3 linked regions of the Drosophila melanogaster genome follow. The protein of the gene in region 1 interacts with the protein of each later gene in a pairwise test. Each region holds a gene or a part of one and is shown in the gene's direction. Other genes may lie near its edges.

Region 1 (3,492 bases):
ATTGGCAATGTCATAAAACGCACACACTCACGCAGACTTCCAGGCACTTGTGCCCTCAGGTCGTATTCGCAACATTTCCCATTTAGCGTGACATGCTTTCCCTTCTCCATTTCCCATTTTCCGCTCACCCATTCCAAAAGCCCCGGCATTTCGCATTTCGCATTTCCCAGTTGCCATTTGTGGCCCGCTGCCCTGTTATGTGGTAATTAAAATGACTCTTGGCCCATCTCCGACGCGTTTTTGGACAGCTTTTTACTGCCACTCAGCCGATGCGTCGTATATGCGTAATGTCTGGCTAAATTATTAATTTACTATGGCCCCGAACGAGTGTTGTTAATTAATTTGTATGCAAATGCCGGAAAATCGAGACTGGGTGGTGCTTGAGCCGGAACGAGTGGCTGATCCGCTTCAATGAATCGCTTCAAATGCTGACCAGCAAATCCCATTACCATTGAGTGGATGACGATGGTTGTGGTTTATTAATTGATACGAAATAATTATGGTTAGGTAGGTGAGAAGTTGGTCTGAAATGATCTGCGGATGGTTTTTATCTATTTGTTTGTCTCGCGACTTCATTGTGGACGGCAGTCCACTTAGTGACGAAGGGCACCAGTTAAATGTCTCTGCTGGTGACTCACGTTTTCATCTCTTGTAGGTTTATTACAATCCCAAACCTTCGAAGCTAATATTTTCAACATCCTGAATGCAAGGTGCACACTAAGCTGTACTGCGGTTAGTCTGTACGCTTTTACCTTTGCTGGATTGTTTGCACTGCGGCAACGGGGCGTGTGATTAATTTTAGCCGGAATAGCCGACAAAAACCCTTTCATTCATTCCGCTCCTTTGTCACAATAAAATTGGGGAGAAGGGTAGGGCAAACAAGAGCATATAATAAAAACAGTAAACATTTAATTGCCTGACAAATATTTGCCCTTCGCCCCAGCACCAAAAAAGGGGTTTAGGGCCAAGTTTCGAGAGCTCGACAAATAGGCGCTGATGAAAAACTTTAATAGTAAAACTTCCCCATTCGGCTTATGCTTTCATTTCTCCTTCTTCTTCTCCCATTTCTCCGCCTTTTCCCCCCAACTTTTCTCTTATGCATTATCGGCATACGCTGCTCATATAACTTTGCTCGTCGGCTGCCGTTGAAAGTTTTGCGCAGCTTGACAAAATTTTCAGAGCTATGCGATGGTCGCTATATATGCAAAAATCTTAAGCGAAGTATCGATTTTGCCGCCGGCTAAAAATTATTTACAAACGAATGAACTTTTAAAGGAGCCAACTCCAATTGAGTGGGTTGTCTGCGGTTCAGTTTTGTTTGTCTGCCAGCTCGAGAGTCCTTTGCCAATGCCCGGAAGCCCTACTACAAAGGACATCGCATGGCGGGTGAATTCTCCCTAATAAAATAAAAAAAAGGCACACAATATTTGGTAGGAATTGAAAGAATGCAAAATGAAAAAAAAATGGTTCAAAAAACCGGTGTCCCGTATTCTTAAATTTTTGTATAAAATTAAGATTATAAAGATTATTCGATTATTTTGATTTTTTAACTATACTACTACTTGAATTAAATTATTCAAAAAAACATTTGATCGCGGCTTATCGATAAGCTGATTACTGTGCTATCGATAGGTCATGATCAGTAAGTAGCTGCACACGATAGCAAGAATTCATCTAGAGATGACAATGTGGCCAGATCAGCTAATTTATTGGTAATATCTAGCTAAATTCGAGCCATTAGATAAATTTAATATTCGCCTGTTCACTAAAAATATTCCTAATATATTAGTGAAATAAAACAAAACAAAAAATGTACCAATATATATATCAAATTAATAATGCAATTAATAATTATTATATTGTATATAATAAAATTGTAAATAAATATCGTACTCATGCTATTATTGAACCTGGCTATCTATAAGCGTCACGAAAAGCACACAGGCGCACTGTGGCGTTTTAGCTTTTTTAAAGCTTTCTTCGCCCTGCGTAAGACAGCTTTTTTTCTGTACAGCTAGAAACAGCTTTTTTGCTGCCAGCAAACTGGCAACACTGGCGGCAGGCGTCACTACTCTCATTGTTATTGTCATCACTATTGCATTGACATTGTTGCTGTACGTCGTGTTTTAATTAATTTCCATTGCGCTTTTTTGTCGAATTATGAAAATTTACAAGCAGAAACTGCGCGATGTGTGGCTGCAAATGGAGGAGTTTCGTGCGTGGCTGCGGCGTGATCCGGACGACTCCTACCGGGCGCACTGCCGCTTCTGCAAATGCTGCGTAAACACCAAAATAAGCGATCTGCGTGCACATGCGTCGACCAAGAAGCATATGAAGCACTTAAACCTTAAACAGCAAATCGTAAGTGTGCACAGTTTGTCATCAATCCCGCCTAATTTGGATCTATCACCTTTCCAGAAAACCACAGACGACAGCCCCTTAAACAGGTCATCCGCCAGCAGCTCCAGCACCACTCCCTACAAGGTCAAGGTGAAGTCGCAGCCAAAAACTTCCCCGGTAAAAAAGGAAAAAATCAGTGCATCGGATCAGTCCGTCGACTACGAGGAAATCATTGAGAACCTGGCACTTTACGAACCAGAGCAGGTCATGTTCTCATCGTGCTCCCTGACCGGCGGCGGCGAGCAAAGGCTAGAGGACGACGTTGAAGGCGAGGGCGAGATGTCCACCATCAGCATTATGGACGAGGAAATGGTCAACAAGGCAGTGGCCAATGCTCTGCGCACCCAGAAGGACAGCTCCCAGATCTTCGGAGACTTTGTGGCCGACCGGCTACGACAGTTGAACACCGACGCCTCCGAGTTTGCCAAGGACAAGATAATGAAGGTGATATTGGAGGCAGCGTCCATCGATCGGGCTCCCACTTATAATTAAAATATTAGTTTTTAGTATTGACTATAGTTTGAATAAAACATGAACTGTACAATTATGATTAATTAAATATGCAACATTTTTGCTAACCTGGGAGGCTTACTTCTATTCGAAATTTGTAAGGAAAAAAAATTGTAAATTTGTAAAAAAAAATCATTTTATTATTTAGTAAATTTTGGATACATTTTTATTATTACTTTGAAACACCTTAATTTTGTATTATTAGTAAATATTTTTAAAGAGAACCAACTGCACTATGTATAAATGGTTCTTCATTTTGAATAAAAATTTATTTCAGAACTTTTCGTTTTTAAAAAGTTCTATACAAAAAATGTAGTAAATTATTTTGAGATTATTAATTATAATTTTCAAAAAAATGTTGCACCATAGAACATGGATTTTTTTCGAAATTCATATCATGTATTTAACATAAAATATTTTGAAGGAAACTAAAGCAGGCGCAAAAGGGGGCACGCAGATAAATTGCTAAAACTTTTGCTCGGCAAGTTCATTGGCCATGCATTAGTTATTTAACAATTCAGCATTTTACCCTTTACGCTTTAAGCATTAATCTCGCTGGCATTCTGCTTTTAGCCCATTTTT
Region 2 (5,082 bases), on another chromosome or scaffold:
AACTTTGCGTTGGCCGTCCAATTAGTTCACACATATAATCTGTTGATAGATTGAAAGAGAAGAACTACAGTGCAAGGTAATCCCTCAGATACGGGTTTGTCAAATTACATTTTTCGCAACTTTATGGCATTGTTCGTTCCATTTTTTTTTTTTTCTTTTTTCGTCCGTCAAGGATACATTTTCAGCAGTTGGCAAATAGATAAATCCTTCAGGGCCTTGGCTGGAAAAGAGGTCGTCCCACGTACGTAGAGTTAGTAAATAAATAAATGCCAGCTGGGGGTCACCAGGTCGAGTTTGTGTGTGGGTCGTGTCCGGGTCATGTTTGTGTAAATTAGTGGCACAAATAAACACTCGACCAGTAGCTGCAACAGCTGCACGAATGACCATCACGACAGCATCCAGAAAAACACTCGATTGATGGATGGTTGATGTCTGACCAGGGACCAAGTTTAGATAATTGAAAATTCTCGTGATTTGCAGCCAACTGTTATTGAAGCCCGACCACGTGTGCGCAGCTTATGTCTTCCGGGGCGTATGAGAAATTTGATTTGCCAGCCTTCTTGACCCATTCTCGCTTGGCAGCCGACAATCGCAGTGCTCACAATCTGATTTTAAATGCCTGCTGACAGCTCAGTCAGTCAAAGGAGAAGCTTCTTGCCAGCGCAGGTGTGCAAGATGTGTTTGCCCAGCAAATTGAACCTAATGCGGCTCACGGATGGCATTTAAATAAGCCAGCTGCGAAGCTGTGGAGTTCCCCCAAGCCTTTTCCCATCCGCAGAACTGGCAAAACAGGCAAAAACAGGCCCCAAGCTACAGGATACAATGCGAAGACAACTGTCAACATTTAAATAAGATTGATCGATTGGCAGCGTCAACGGCATTGACATTGCCCCCATTGTGGTGGGTGTTGGGCCTAATGCCATCGCCATCGCCATCAGGGGCGTGATGGACTTTACACGCGCTCAGATTTCCATTAAACAGGATGCCCCACGATTACGCTGGATACACTTAAAAGAAAATAATTTGAGAATACCTGTGTCCCATTGCTAAGAGGGCATTTAATCCATATCCATTATTATTATGAATTATATGATTATTCAGAAGCTTTTTATATACGTCATAATAAAAGGGTTTGGTTTAATTTATTTATGTCATACTTTTGACAACCTATCAACTTATATTTAAATCTGCATCTGTGGGTTTATCAGTAAGCAAGCATTTAGCTCGTTTATTAAGCCGCTATAATAAAATATTTCGTGGCTTATCAACGAATACCTGCAACAGTCAGTTTAAATATCATCAGACTAAAGTGATAACCCGGAAATTGAGGTAAAGCCCATATAAAATTCGTATTAAAATGTATTTTTTGATTTTGTTGTAATTTTTCCCACTGCAGACTTTACAATTAGCTTCCCAATTTGAATGCCAGTCACTCATTGAATCCTATTTTTCACTTGCTCTGTGGGCGACAAATTGGTGGCGCTTCCGTTTGGGATTTGCCGCTTGATTCGCTTGTTTACGCTGACCAGCGGGCTGCCTTTTGGCCGGTATTAGAGTGCATAACAAATCACTTAGCACCCGTCCATCAGGGACCTAATCAGGCTCGCATGGGGCCGCTAGCATTTGGCTATATAACTTGCTATCTGCCGCGCTGCTGGCATCAGTTGTCCCGCAAAGCAGTCCCAAAGCGCAACGCGGTTCCATTCGATCGTCCGACTATTAAGTTAATAGTTCCAGCGCTTCCGGAGTGTCCTGTCCTGTCCTGGGAGGTCAGTCGCTCGTAAACGCCAGAAAACACCTAGCAGCGAACACAGTTGGCCCAGTTATGTGTGGTCCTAGTTATTGCACACTGCTGCTAATCGCGGCTTCCTGCTACATCCTTGTTTGCAGTCATGCGAAGTCCTTGCAGGTGAGTCTCGGGCAAAGTGGGAAAAATGTGGTGGTGTTGGTACTGTGGCTTGTTGGCCAAACAAGCGCCACTTAATTAGTGTTATTTGCCCAGGCACAAGTTCGCCAGCTTAGCGTGATAATTTTCAACCAGTGCTGAAATTCTTGGATTTTTGGAACGGAAATTTTGGGGCGAAAAGTTTTCACTTTGACGTGTGCCTTACAGCATTATGTGGCGCACTCGTTTCCCGTCTGTCAACTGCATTTGAAGTGCTACCAATTAGTTTGCAGATACTGCAACTATTTTTTTTTTCTGCCAGCAGGCAATCAATTGGCATCCAATTAACATTTCGGTTGCAATCGCAGCAACACTGCGTATACGTGTTGCGCAACTTATTCTCGCACCACTAATTAAAATAACTTTCCATGCTTGGCAGTGCAGATGTAATAAAACCTAGTAGGCCTTAATTAATCAAAAAGACATAATTATATCAAGTTTATGCATAGTTCATTGGGTTGGGAATTTGTGGTGTTGTATTTGGTTTTAGGTAAATTATATCGTTTGATATCGAATCCGCAAGTGTTTTGTATTAAATTCTGGACATTACAAAATGCTTAGTGTTATTACAATTCAAACTGTAACTATTATTAATTATTTAATTACAAACTTATTCTTTTTCGTTTATTGTCAGGGAATATTATACGAATATGTTTCATAATATTTTTATTTAAACGGGGAAACTAAAAGAAACTAAAGAAATAACCAATAAATTCACGACAGCTACAACATTGCTCTTTTTCATATCAGCTTAGAATATTGCAAAATATATCGACTGTGCTGAGTGTATTCGAAAATGCTGAGCCAAATGAAGGTTTAATATCAAGTATACGCCCACGCAGACATCCGCTTAGAGTGAGCGTTTATTGGCGAATTGCGATTTACAAGCCGATTTCAGGTGTTGGCATTTCAATCTACATTGAGTTGTCTAATCAAGCGGCACACGCTGATCTGCCTTCCATGCCTGGGTGTAAATTGAAACAATAAAGTGCTTGACTCGCACATTCACACTCACATCCATAGACACCCACACGCACACATACAGGCACACCCGCAAGTCGGTTGGAAGGACCTTTATGCGTGTGTGCAGCTCACGTACGAGTATGAGCATAAATAGGCGGCATAAAAATAACTTAACACGTGTCGACAGTTTGGCAGCGTGGGAACCCTCAGTAAAAAAAAACAACATCCTCCAAGGAAATATCTCAAATATTTAGCTCCTTTTTTCGCCTGCTTTTTTGGCCCCTGCTTTTATGGCATTTTTTATTTGTGCAGGGCACGAGCAAACTGGATTTGGGAAATCACATCAGCGCCGGCTCTGCCAGAGGATCATTATCACCAGCTTCACCAGCGTTGAGCGAGGCACGTCAAAAGCGCGCCATGGGCGACTACAAAGAGCTGACAGACATCATTGACGAGCTGGAGGAGAATAGCCTGGCCCAGAAGGCCAGTGCCACCATGCAGGTGGCTGCCATGCCGCCGCAGGGCCAGGAATTCGATTTGGACACCATGCCGCCACTGACCTATTACCTGCTCCTTCAAAAGCTACGACAGCGTAAGTTGCCTATGGACACCTGCTGAAATGTGAAGGATATATGTATGAAGAGGGCAAGTCGCTCTAATTGGTTTCCGAATCACGTTCCCATTTCACGCAACCATCTCCATAATGTTCGCATACTTTATACATAAGCTTTTCCTCATTTTTTGCAGAGAGAAAAACATAATATGAAAATGTTATTTTCATTTAATATGCATGTCGTTTCTTTACTTCACAAGACATTGGCATATTTAAATGAATATTTTATATTCAGAAAAAAAAGAACAATCTCCATACGTAATGACAATACCGTACAAAAGTCCGAGAAATCTGCAATTTTTACTAGAAAAATTCCTTCACAGTGACTTAGGCAATGTTCAATGTTTTTCAAATTGAGTTAACCATTCATTCATTTATGTTATTCAATCATGGAAACTATTACTTATCCAAAGAATGTTGGATACATTTGAACAAAATTGTTTGAAAATTTCGCATTCATTTTTTCCTTATCAAAATGCTTATACATATATTATGAAATACTCTCCCTATTTCCATTTGGACAGTGCAGAGTAATGGGGAGCCCGCTTATCGCGTGCGGACGCCACGCCTTGGCCGCAGCATTGACTCCTGGCGACTACTGGACGCGGAGGGGGCGACGGGAATGGCGGGCGGCGAGGAGGCCATCGGCGGGCAGTTCATGCAGCGCATGGTTAAGAAATCGGTGCCGTTCAAGCCACGCCTGGGCAAACGTGCTCAAGTGTGCGGTGGCGATTGAGTCACGACAAGGGCGCGAGGACATGGCACGGCACGGAATCGGACTGCGGATGGAGGACGGAGGACGAGCCCAGGACAAGGTTGAGGCCAGGCGACTGGCCCTTGAGTTAACATAACCAAGCCATAATGGCCAGCTGAATTCGACGCGACGCAAAAATAATCCACATATATGCATAGTGAATGACTACTCTACTAGTTACTAGCGCTATAACCCTGATTTGAGAGGAACTAATGATGTGTATATACCGTACATATATTTATTATTTATTTAAATAAATTGTGTAGCCCCCAAAAGTAGCGTTGATTTTACATTCCAAATGAGCCGGGAATTAAATAAACATGGCAATTTCATTAACGACCTGCGCTTCCTAGGGTTCTATGTCCACTATACACTATATTGCCATTTTCCAGTTAAATTTATGAGAATTTCATAACCAATGGTAGGGCGCGTAAATTGGAAAAATGCGGCCAACATCCGTTGCCACAAAATCGCCCATGAGTGTTGACCATGGCAACTGCCGTTTGCAGTTGGCCCATGTGTGTGCATTTTGACTGATAAAATATCTTGGTTCCCTTGCCGCGCCCTTTCAAAAACCCAGTGCCACAATTGTGGTCCGGTCAAAAGCTTCTGGCTTTATTTGGCCTGATGAAGCATAGAAAATTGTGCGGGGCTTGCAATGAATGCGGAAACGGAAACATTTTATGAATGCTTTTTCAGTGGAGAACTTTAATTTAAAGTATCCATGTTCTGAGGCTTTTATCAAAAGTAACTACCTCTTTATTTTACTTCCATAAATGCAATAAATAATTCGATGCTGTGCATTGA
Region 3 (7,827 bases), on another chromosome or scaffold:
GCACATCCAACGGACTGCACCATGTATTTGCAGTGTAGTAATGGCGTGGCATTGGAGCGCAAGTGTCCAGATCCGCTGTATTGGAACCCGGAGATAAAGTCATGTGATTGGTCCAATAAATATTGCACAAATCTTCGGGCGAGTCAATCGATTTCTTGCGCAGCGGGCATGAATTTTAACGTTTTTCAAAGCGATTGCTCCAAATATGTCAAGTGTTTTGGCCTGAGAGGTGTTGTAATGAGCTGTAATTCAGGACTTTACTGGAATCCCGTTAGTCAAGTTTGCGAAAAGTCCCGGCGATTCTGCACATAAGAGTAAGTCCAATTAAAGTAGACAAAATTTTAATAAATAACATGCGGACACTTTTTTTCAGGAGCAGTGCAACGGCATTATTCATTGGACAATATTTACCTAAGAAATGAATAAAAAGATTGCGAATTATTAAAAATTTATTTATACTGTGGAAATTACAAATCGATTAATTAAAGTTAGCAAAATTATTAATATAATGAAACAGAAACTGAATGTTAAATTCCTATTGTTGTATATAAAAAAAAAAAAACACATTCAATCGCATTTTTATTTCACTGGGGTTTTTTTTTTAGATGATCTAAATAGATATTTTTGGATGCATGCAAATTTATTTCAATAGACTGAGACACTTTGGTAATGAACTACCCTATTGTTATAGAAACAAAAGGTAGTCTCAAATTCATCTCAAGGTGTTACAAAAAATTGGTCTCAATATAAATTCTTATTACGATGTAATAAAAATTTCATAGCACTTTATTCCCATTAAAATTGGAAAACAAGGTTAAAGATATTTTTAAGTGCAATTGTATCTAGTAAAATAAGTAATGGGTACACTGTAGCCGGATTATTTGCTTTCCACAGTTCCTAGGCCTTTTTCGTAGATCTTATCAATCTAGGTTTCAATTAAAAATATTACTAGCCTTGAAACACACCCCATACAGACGATGGGTATTCAAAAATTGAAAATTTAATGCTTCAGTTCAATTTAACACATGGTTTCATAGAAGCTCTTAGCAGATAAGGGTATAAAGCCGAATTCAACATTGAATGGGGGCTGGTAGAGACTGCTCTATATATAGATATGACGATGGGTAGTCTAAACAGAAAGCGAAAGCAAATAGTTAGTCTCAAAGGTTATCTGATTAAATTACTTCCGCCAATTTTTGATTTGTAGAAATAAATAAGTGGCTTGGGAAATCCAAAGCCCAATCGATAAAGCCTTCGCCAGATGCAAAGAGAGCACATACAAGTCAAGTGAATGAGTGTGGGCAGGGACACACTTGAAATGTATCCAAGAGATACACAATTGCGTATCTTTATATGCTAATAAATGCCAGTACATTTCCCTAAAATGGGTCAAAAGAGTCCCCCATCCGTTGGCATAGACTACGATGTTGTAATGCCCATAGAAACTCATTTGTCGAGGGGGACGTCAACGCGCCGCCCCTTCCATCGGCAGGCCAAGCCAGACCAAGTGATCGATTGACACGATCAAAGCGCTGATACGTAATGGAATAGACACTCGAATGAATAGCACTGGCGACGAGCTCCCAGCTCGGGCTCCAAGTGCCCTGATCCGCCTCACAGATACCAGCACTCTGCGCTGGTGTGGATCCTACATAAATATTCATGCTGGCCAAATGCAAATGTATTGGAAATTGCTCGCCTTCAATGAATTTGAGTTCTGCTCAAGCTCTAGAGTTTTGATGCTCGTACAGGGCAGCGTTATTCGCAATCCAGCAGTTGTCGCGATCGGAAGCAAATCGGAAAATCTCCATTGGATTCCTAGAACACGCAGCCGAAAAAGTATGTGCCTAGGATGTGTGCCCTCGCAGCAAGGACATAGAGCAAAAACAGCTCTCAAATACAAGGGATTAGTGAAGAAATAAGATAACAAAACATCCTATTAATTGTGCATTACGAAACGGATTACAACTTGTAGAGTTTTATTTGATAAAATTTAAATGTGAATTTCTATATGCAGTGAAATTGAAATCAACCAAAATACAGGACCTTATATCATTAGTAAATGGTCAAAAAGAACAATAAGTGTGTAAATTATAATGTGTGCAAACTAAGAATCTTGTACTAATCGAATCATTGACAACATCTAAACACAATTATGTGAAGATTAAATTTTCTTCCCAAATTTATTAAATATTTCTATATTCAAATATAAATATGTACATTCTGTAACAATTCATATTCGCCAGGATAATCACACAATTATCCTTTCGAAGTGTAAAGTGCTTATGTGACTTTCTTGTATTTTTTACATATAAAAATCAAAATAAAGATGTGAAAAGCGAAAGATATCAAAAAGGATATGTACATATGTATGATTTCAGACTACAAATTCAAACACGTTTGTGTCAAGAACTAAAATTCGAAACTTACATTAATCAGCCTTAGCGATTACATCACTCGCAAGACTGAAATATAACTCAAGATCGATTGCCTTTTTTTTGGCATCTAATAGCACAGCGTGCGTGCTCATTTTAAAGAAAAGTGATAACCTCTGAAAGTGACGGACAAGAAACACAGAGAAGGAGTATAAACTAATAATAACACGCATCTATATGGTGTATTGATAATACAATTCAATTTCATCTTACAGTTTGCTGGTTGTGTTGCCGCGACGTCGACGCCTTTCAATTGGATTCAGGGTTTAATTTATTGAAATGTTGCCCTTTCGCTTGGGCCTGCTACTTGGCGCCGTGCTATTCGTGGCAAGCGCAAATGGAGCTGCCATCGTAAGTTTCCGAATTGTTAATGAATCTCCCCGAGAATTGTTGCTTCTCTGTGTGTGTTGAATGGAACTAGAGTAGTGTAATGTAAATGAACTCGGTTCGAAAAGTAGGCGATAAGACATAATTTGACCAAGGTCAGTTTCTTACAAGCAGCATCTAATCGGGCACACTTGCACAGACCCTTTGAATGAATAAAGATTAGACTGACATTAGCATTGAATTTAAATCGATGTATTAACTTTCAGGAAAATGAGGTTTCTAGTCTGAACGACTTGCAGCGGGAAAAGAGAAGCGGCAGAGGCTAGTAAGTAGTTGGTTAACAACTATTTTGGACCAGATGGGCTTACTTCCTTTCCATGTTTATCCGCAGTTCGAGGGGACAAACCCAGTCTCAGTACTTAAATTTCGGTAAGCCTGAGGAGGATGGAAAGGCTGAGGCAGAGGCTACCGAAAATGGATCTCGCTCCACTGTGTGTGAGTACGGGTCAGATGAGATTCATTAGCACTTTGTCCATTGACCTCTTGACCTCTTTCAGCTGGCACCCATGGAATGGGTCAGGCTCAGAGCCAGTTCTCATCAGGGGACTGCAATGGATGTTCTGGCTACCAAACGGATTACCCTTCTTCAGGCAGAATTCTTGATGCTAGTGGATCCGGAGGCATCGGTAGACCCGATTCCATTATAAGCTTACCCGGAGGTGGTAAGTCGTATATAATCAAAATGTATACAGTTTGATATATGTTGCTCTCCCTGAAGTTGGCGGACAAACCGGAGCTGGACAAGCCGGATACGGAAGCCAACTTGGAGTTGGCGCTCAGGCCGGTGCCGGACAACCCGGATACGGTGACCAACCTGGAGTTGGCACTCAACCTGGAGTCGGACAGCCCGGATACGGAAGCCAACCTGGTATTGGCGGACAGACTGGAGCCGGACAGCCCGGATACGGAAGCCAACCTGGTATTGGCGGACAGACTGGAGCCGGACAGCCCGGATATGGAAGCCAACCTGTGGTTGGAGCTCAGACCGGAACCGGACAACCCGGATACGGTGCTCAACCTGGAGTTGGCACTCAGACTGGAGCCGGACAGCCCGGATACGGAAGCCAACCTGGTATTGGCGGACAGACTGGAGCCAGACAGCCCGGATATGTAACCCAACCTGGAGTTGGAGCTCAGACCGGAATCGGACAACCCGGATACGGTGCCCAACCAGGTATTCTTGGACAGACTGGAGCCGGACAGCCCGGATACGGCAGCCAGCCTGGTATTGGCGGACAGACTGGAGCCGGACAGCCCGGATATGGAACCCAACCTGGAGTTGGAGCTCAGACCGGAACCGGACAACCCGGATACGGTGCCCAACCTGGAGTTGGCACTCAGACTGGAGCCGGACAGCCCGGATACGGCAGCCAGCCTGGTATTGGCGGACAGACTGGAGCCGGACAGCCCGGATATGGAACCCAACCTGGAGTTGGAGCTCAGACCGGAGCCGGACAACCCGGATACGGTGCCCAACCTGGTGTTGGCGCTCAGACTGGAGCCGGACAGCCCGGATACGGAAGCCAACCTGGTATTGGCGGACAGACTGGAGCCGGACAGCCCGGATACGGAAGCCAACCTGGTATTGGCGGACAAACTGGAGCCAGACAGCCCGGATATGGAAGCCAACCTGGGGTTGGAGCTCAGACCGGAGCCGGACAACCCGGATACGGTGCCCAACCTGGTGTTGGCGCTCAGACTGGAGCCGGACAGCCCGGATACGGAAGCCAACCTGGTATTGGCGGACAGACTGGAGCCGGACAGCCCGGATATGGAAGCCAACCTGGGGTTGGAGCTCAGACCGGAGCCGGACAACCCGGATACGGTGCCCAACCTGGAGTTGGCGCTCAGACTGGAGCCGGACAGCCCGGATACGGCAGCCAGCCTGGTATTGGCGGACAGACTGGAGCCGGACAGCCCGGATATGGAACCCAACCTGGAGTTGGAGCTCAGACCGGAACCGGACAACCCGGATACGGTGCCCAACCTGGAGTTGGCACTCAGACTGGAGCCGGACAGCCCGGATACGGAAGCCAACCTGGTATTGGCGGACAGACTGGAGCCGGACAGCCCGGATATGGAACCCAACCTGGAGTTGGAGCTCAGACCGGAACCGGACAACCCGGATACGGTGCCCAACCTGGAGTTGGCACTCAGACTGGAGCCGGACAGCCCGGATACGGAAGCCAACCCGGATATGGAACCCAACCTGGAGTTGGAGCTCAGACCGGAACCGGACAACCCGGATACGGTGCCCAACCTGGAGTTGGCGGACAGACTGGAGCCGGACAGCCCGGATATGGAACCCAACCTGGTATTGGTGGACAGACTGGAGCCGGACAGCCCGGATACGGCAGCCAGCCTGGTATTGGCGGACAGACCGGTGGCGGACAACCCGGATACGGAAGCCAAATTGGCGGACAGACTGGAGCTGGACAGCCCAGCTATGGAAGCCAACCTGGAGTTGGAGCTCAGAATGGAGCCGGACAACCCGGATACGGTACCCAACCTGTTATTGGTGGACAGACTGGAGCCGGACAACCTGGATATGGAGGTCAAACTGGAGTCGGTGGATCGCCTGGATTTTTAACTCAGCCAGGTATTGGGGGTATAAGCGGACCGATTGGAGGGAAACTCGGTGGCGGACAATCAGAAGCCGCAAAACCTGGATATTGGGCTCAACCTGGAATTGGCGGACCATCCAGATACGGCAGTCAACCTGGAATTGGTGATCAGACCGGAACCGGACAGTCAGGATACGGCGGGCAGCCTGGAATTAGCGGACAGACCGGAGGCGGACAACCAGGATACGGAGGACAGGCTACAATAAGCGGACTCCCTGGGTATGGCACTCAGCCAGGAATTGGAGCACTAACCGCTGTTCCTGGCGGACATTATGGATACGAAACTCAGCCTGGAATTGGTGGACAGACCGGAACCAACCAACCCGGATTCGGTGGTCAACCTGGAATTGGCGGACAGACTGGAGCCGGCCAACCTGGATATGGATTTATAGGTCAGCCTGGTATTGGAGGGCAAACAGGAACTAGTGGAAGGCAACCCGGTTACGGAACCCAACCAGGAATTGGCGGACAGACTGCAGCCGGACAGCCCGGATATGGAAGCCAAACCGGAGTTGGCGGACAGATCGGAGCCGGACAGCCCGGATATGGAAGCCAACCTGGAATTGGCGGACAGACTGGAGCCGGACAACCCGGATACGGTGCCCAACCAGGTTTTGGAGGACAACCCGGATACGGAAACCAACCTGGAGTTGGCGGACAGACTGGTGCCGGACAGCCCGGATATGGAAGCCAACCTGGAATTGGCGGACAGACCGGAGCCGGACAACCCGGATACGGTGCCCAACCAGGTTTTGGAGGACAACTCGGATACGGAAACCAACCTGGAGTTGGCGGACAGACTGGAGCCGGACAGCCCGGATATGGAAGCCAACCTGGAGTTGGCGGACAGACTGGAGCTGGACAACCCGGATACGGTGTCATACCTGGATTTGGAGGACAACCTGGAATAGGCGGACAGACCGCCGCTGGAAAGCCCGGATACGGTGGTCAACCTGGAATTGGTGGATCACCTGTGTATGGAACACAGCAAGGAACTGGAGGTCAATCAGGAATTAGCGGTGGCCAACCCGGGTACGGAACTCAACCTGGACAAACCGGAGCCGGGCAACCCGGATACGGAAGCTTACCTGGAACAGGTGGTCAGGCCACAGCTGGCCAACCCGGATACGGACCCGGATCTCAACCCGGAATTGGCGGACAGACAGTTGGTGGGCACGGTGGATACGGTAGCCAACCCGGAATCGGTGGAGCGCCAGTTTATGGAACACAGCCAGGAGGTGGCGGCCAAACTGGAGTCATTGGAGGGCAGCCCGGACAGATCGGAGACAGAGTAGGACAACCAGGATACGGAACCCAGACAGGACAAATTGGGGCACCAGGTCGATATACAGATGGAAGTCAAACTGTACCTGGTGCTGTTGGCACCGGTGGAGTTGGTAAGTAGCTATCAAGGCGGTGGAAAACAATGTTTTGAATTGCTCGTTTCCCAGTTGCTGCCGGTACCAGCGGAGCTGACGATGCCTTCTCCCAAGCCGAGTCATCAATTGGCGACGGACAAGCGTCGGCAAGTGCTCAGGGCAAGAAGAATGGAGGCACGGCCAAGACTCAGGTGTCGGGAACTTACAGCTCCGGCGGAACCTTTAGCGCCAGTGCAATGACGTCCGATGCTGATCGTGCGGCCAGTGCACAGGTTACCGGAAATGCTGATGGAGCCGTGAGTCAGTCTCAGGGATCGGGAGGTCCTGCCCAGTCGCAGGCCCAGGTACAGGTTGCCAAGGACGGCGGCACCAAGGCCTCGTCGCAGAGCGGTGGCATCATCCAACAGAGCCAGAGCGAGGTTCACGCCAATGACAAGGGCGGCCTGGCGGACGCCCAATCGAGCGGACCCGGACAAACCTCCTCCCAGGCCCAGATCGGTTTCCGACCCGGCCAGGAGGCCAATCCTATAGCAGCTAATGGTGGCGGCCAGGCATCGTCCTCATCTGGCACTCATTCCAGTCAGAGTAGCTCGCAGATTCACGGAACATCGAGGTAACATTGCTATAGGATTATTGATTATTGACTTTAGCCACTCATTATTGGTTTTGTATTTCAGCTTTGGTGTTTCTTACCATGGTGCTGCACAATCCGCGTCGGGAACCAAAGAGCAGGTTGCTACTTACAGGGAAGCAAACAGGGAACTCTTCAATACCATCAGTCAGTTTGGCAACAACGCAAATGCGTAAGTAATCGGAAAAGTGAAGAAAGAAAGAAAAACATGTTTTGGGCTATTTAAAAAAAGGGATAACGTATGCTTCTGTGGTTTTTAAATTGGCAAAATATGTTCAAAATTGATTTCGAAAAGTCACACACTTTAGCTCAATCAATTTATTGTGATTTTATAACTGCCATGCCTTTATGGAATTCTTTAGCATAAAACG

What was found.
Region 2: the proteins of CG10139 (region 1) and Hug interact in a two-hybrid assay, tested with the Drosophila melanogaster proteins (one large-scale study listed by BioGRID).
Region 3: the proteins of CG10139 (region 1) and prc interact in a two-hybrid assay, tested with the Drosophila melanogaster proteins (one large-scale study listed by BioGRID).

Annotation. Positions count from the first base shown.
Region 1 is NT_033778.4:14,643,196-14,646,687, forward strand, and holds CG10139 (uncharacterized protein), read left to right. Parts: upstream 1-2,074; 5' UTR 2,075-2,160; coding exon 2,161-2,361; intron 2,362-2,418; coding exon 2,419-2,892; 3' UTR 2,893-2,956; downstream 2,957-3,492.
Region 2 is NT_033777.3:12,524,531-12,529,612, forward strand, and holds Hug (hugin), read left to right. Parts: upstream 1-1,657; 5' UTR 1,658-1,825; coding exon 1,826-1,909; intron 1,910-3,220; coding exon 3,221-3,500; intron 3,501-4,045; coding exon 4,046-4,257; 3' UTR 4,258-4,546; downstream 4,547-5,082. UniProt on the Drosophila melanogaster protein: Probably has a role in larval molting.
Region 3 is NT_037436.4:11,960,065-11,967,891, reverse strand, and holds the start of prc (pericardin), read left to right. Parts: upstream 1-1,760; 5' UTR 1,761-1,839; intron 1,840-2,650; 5' UTR 2,651-2,714; coding exon 2,715-2,786; intron 2,787-3,028; coding exon 3,029-3,087; intron 3,088-3,153; coding exon 3,154-3,257; intron 3,258-3,319; coding exon 3,320-3,484; intron 3,485-3,540; coding exon 3,541-6,843; intron 6,844-6,897; coding exon 6,898-7,438; intron 7,439-7,502; coding exon 7,503-7,628; intron 7,629-7,827. Other genes in the region: Muc68E (mucin 68E), read left to right, coding at 1-312.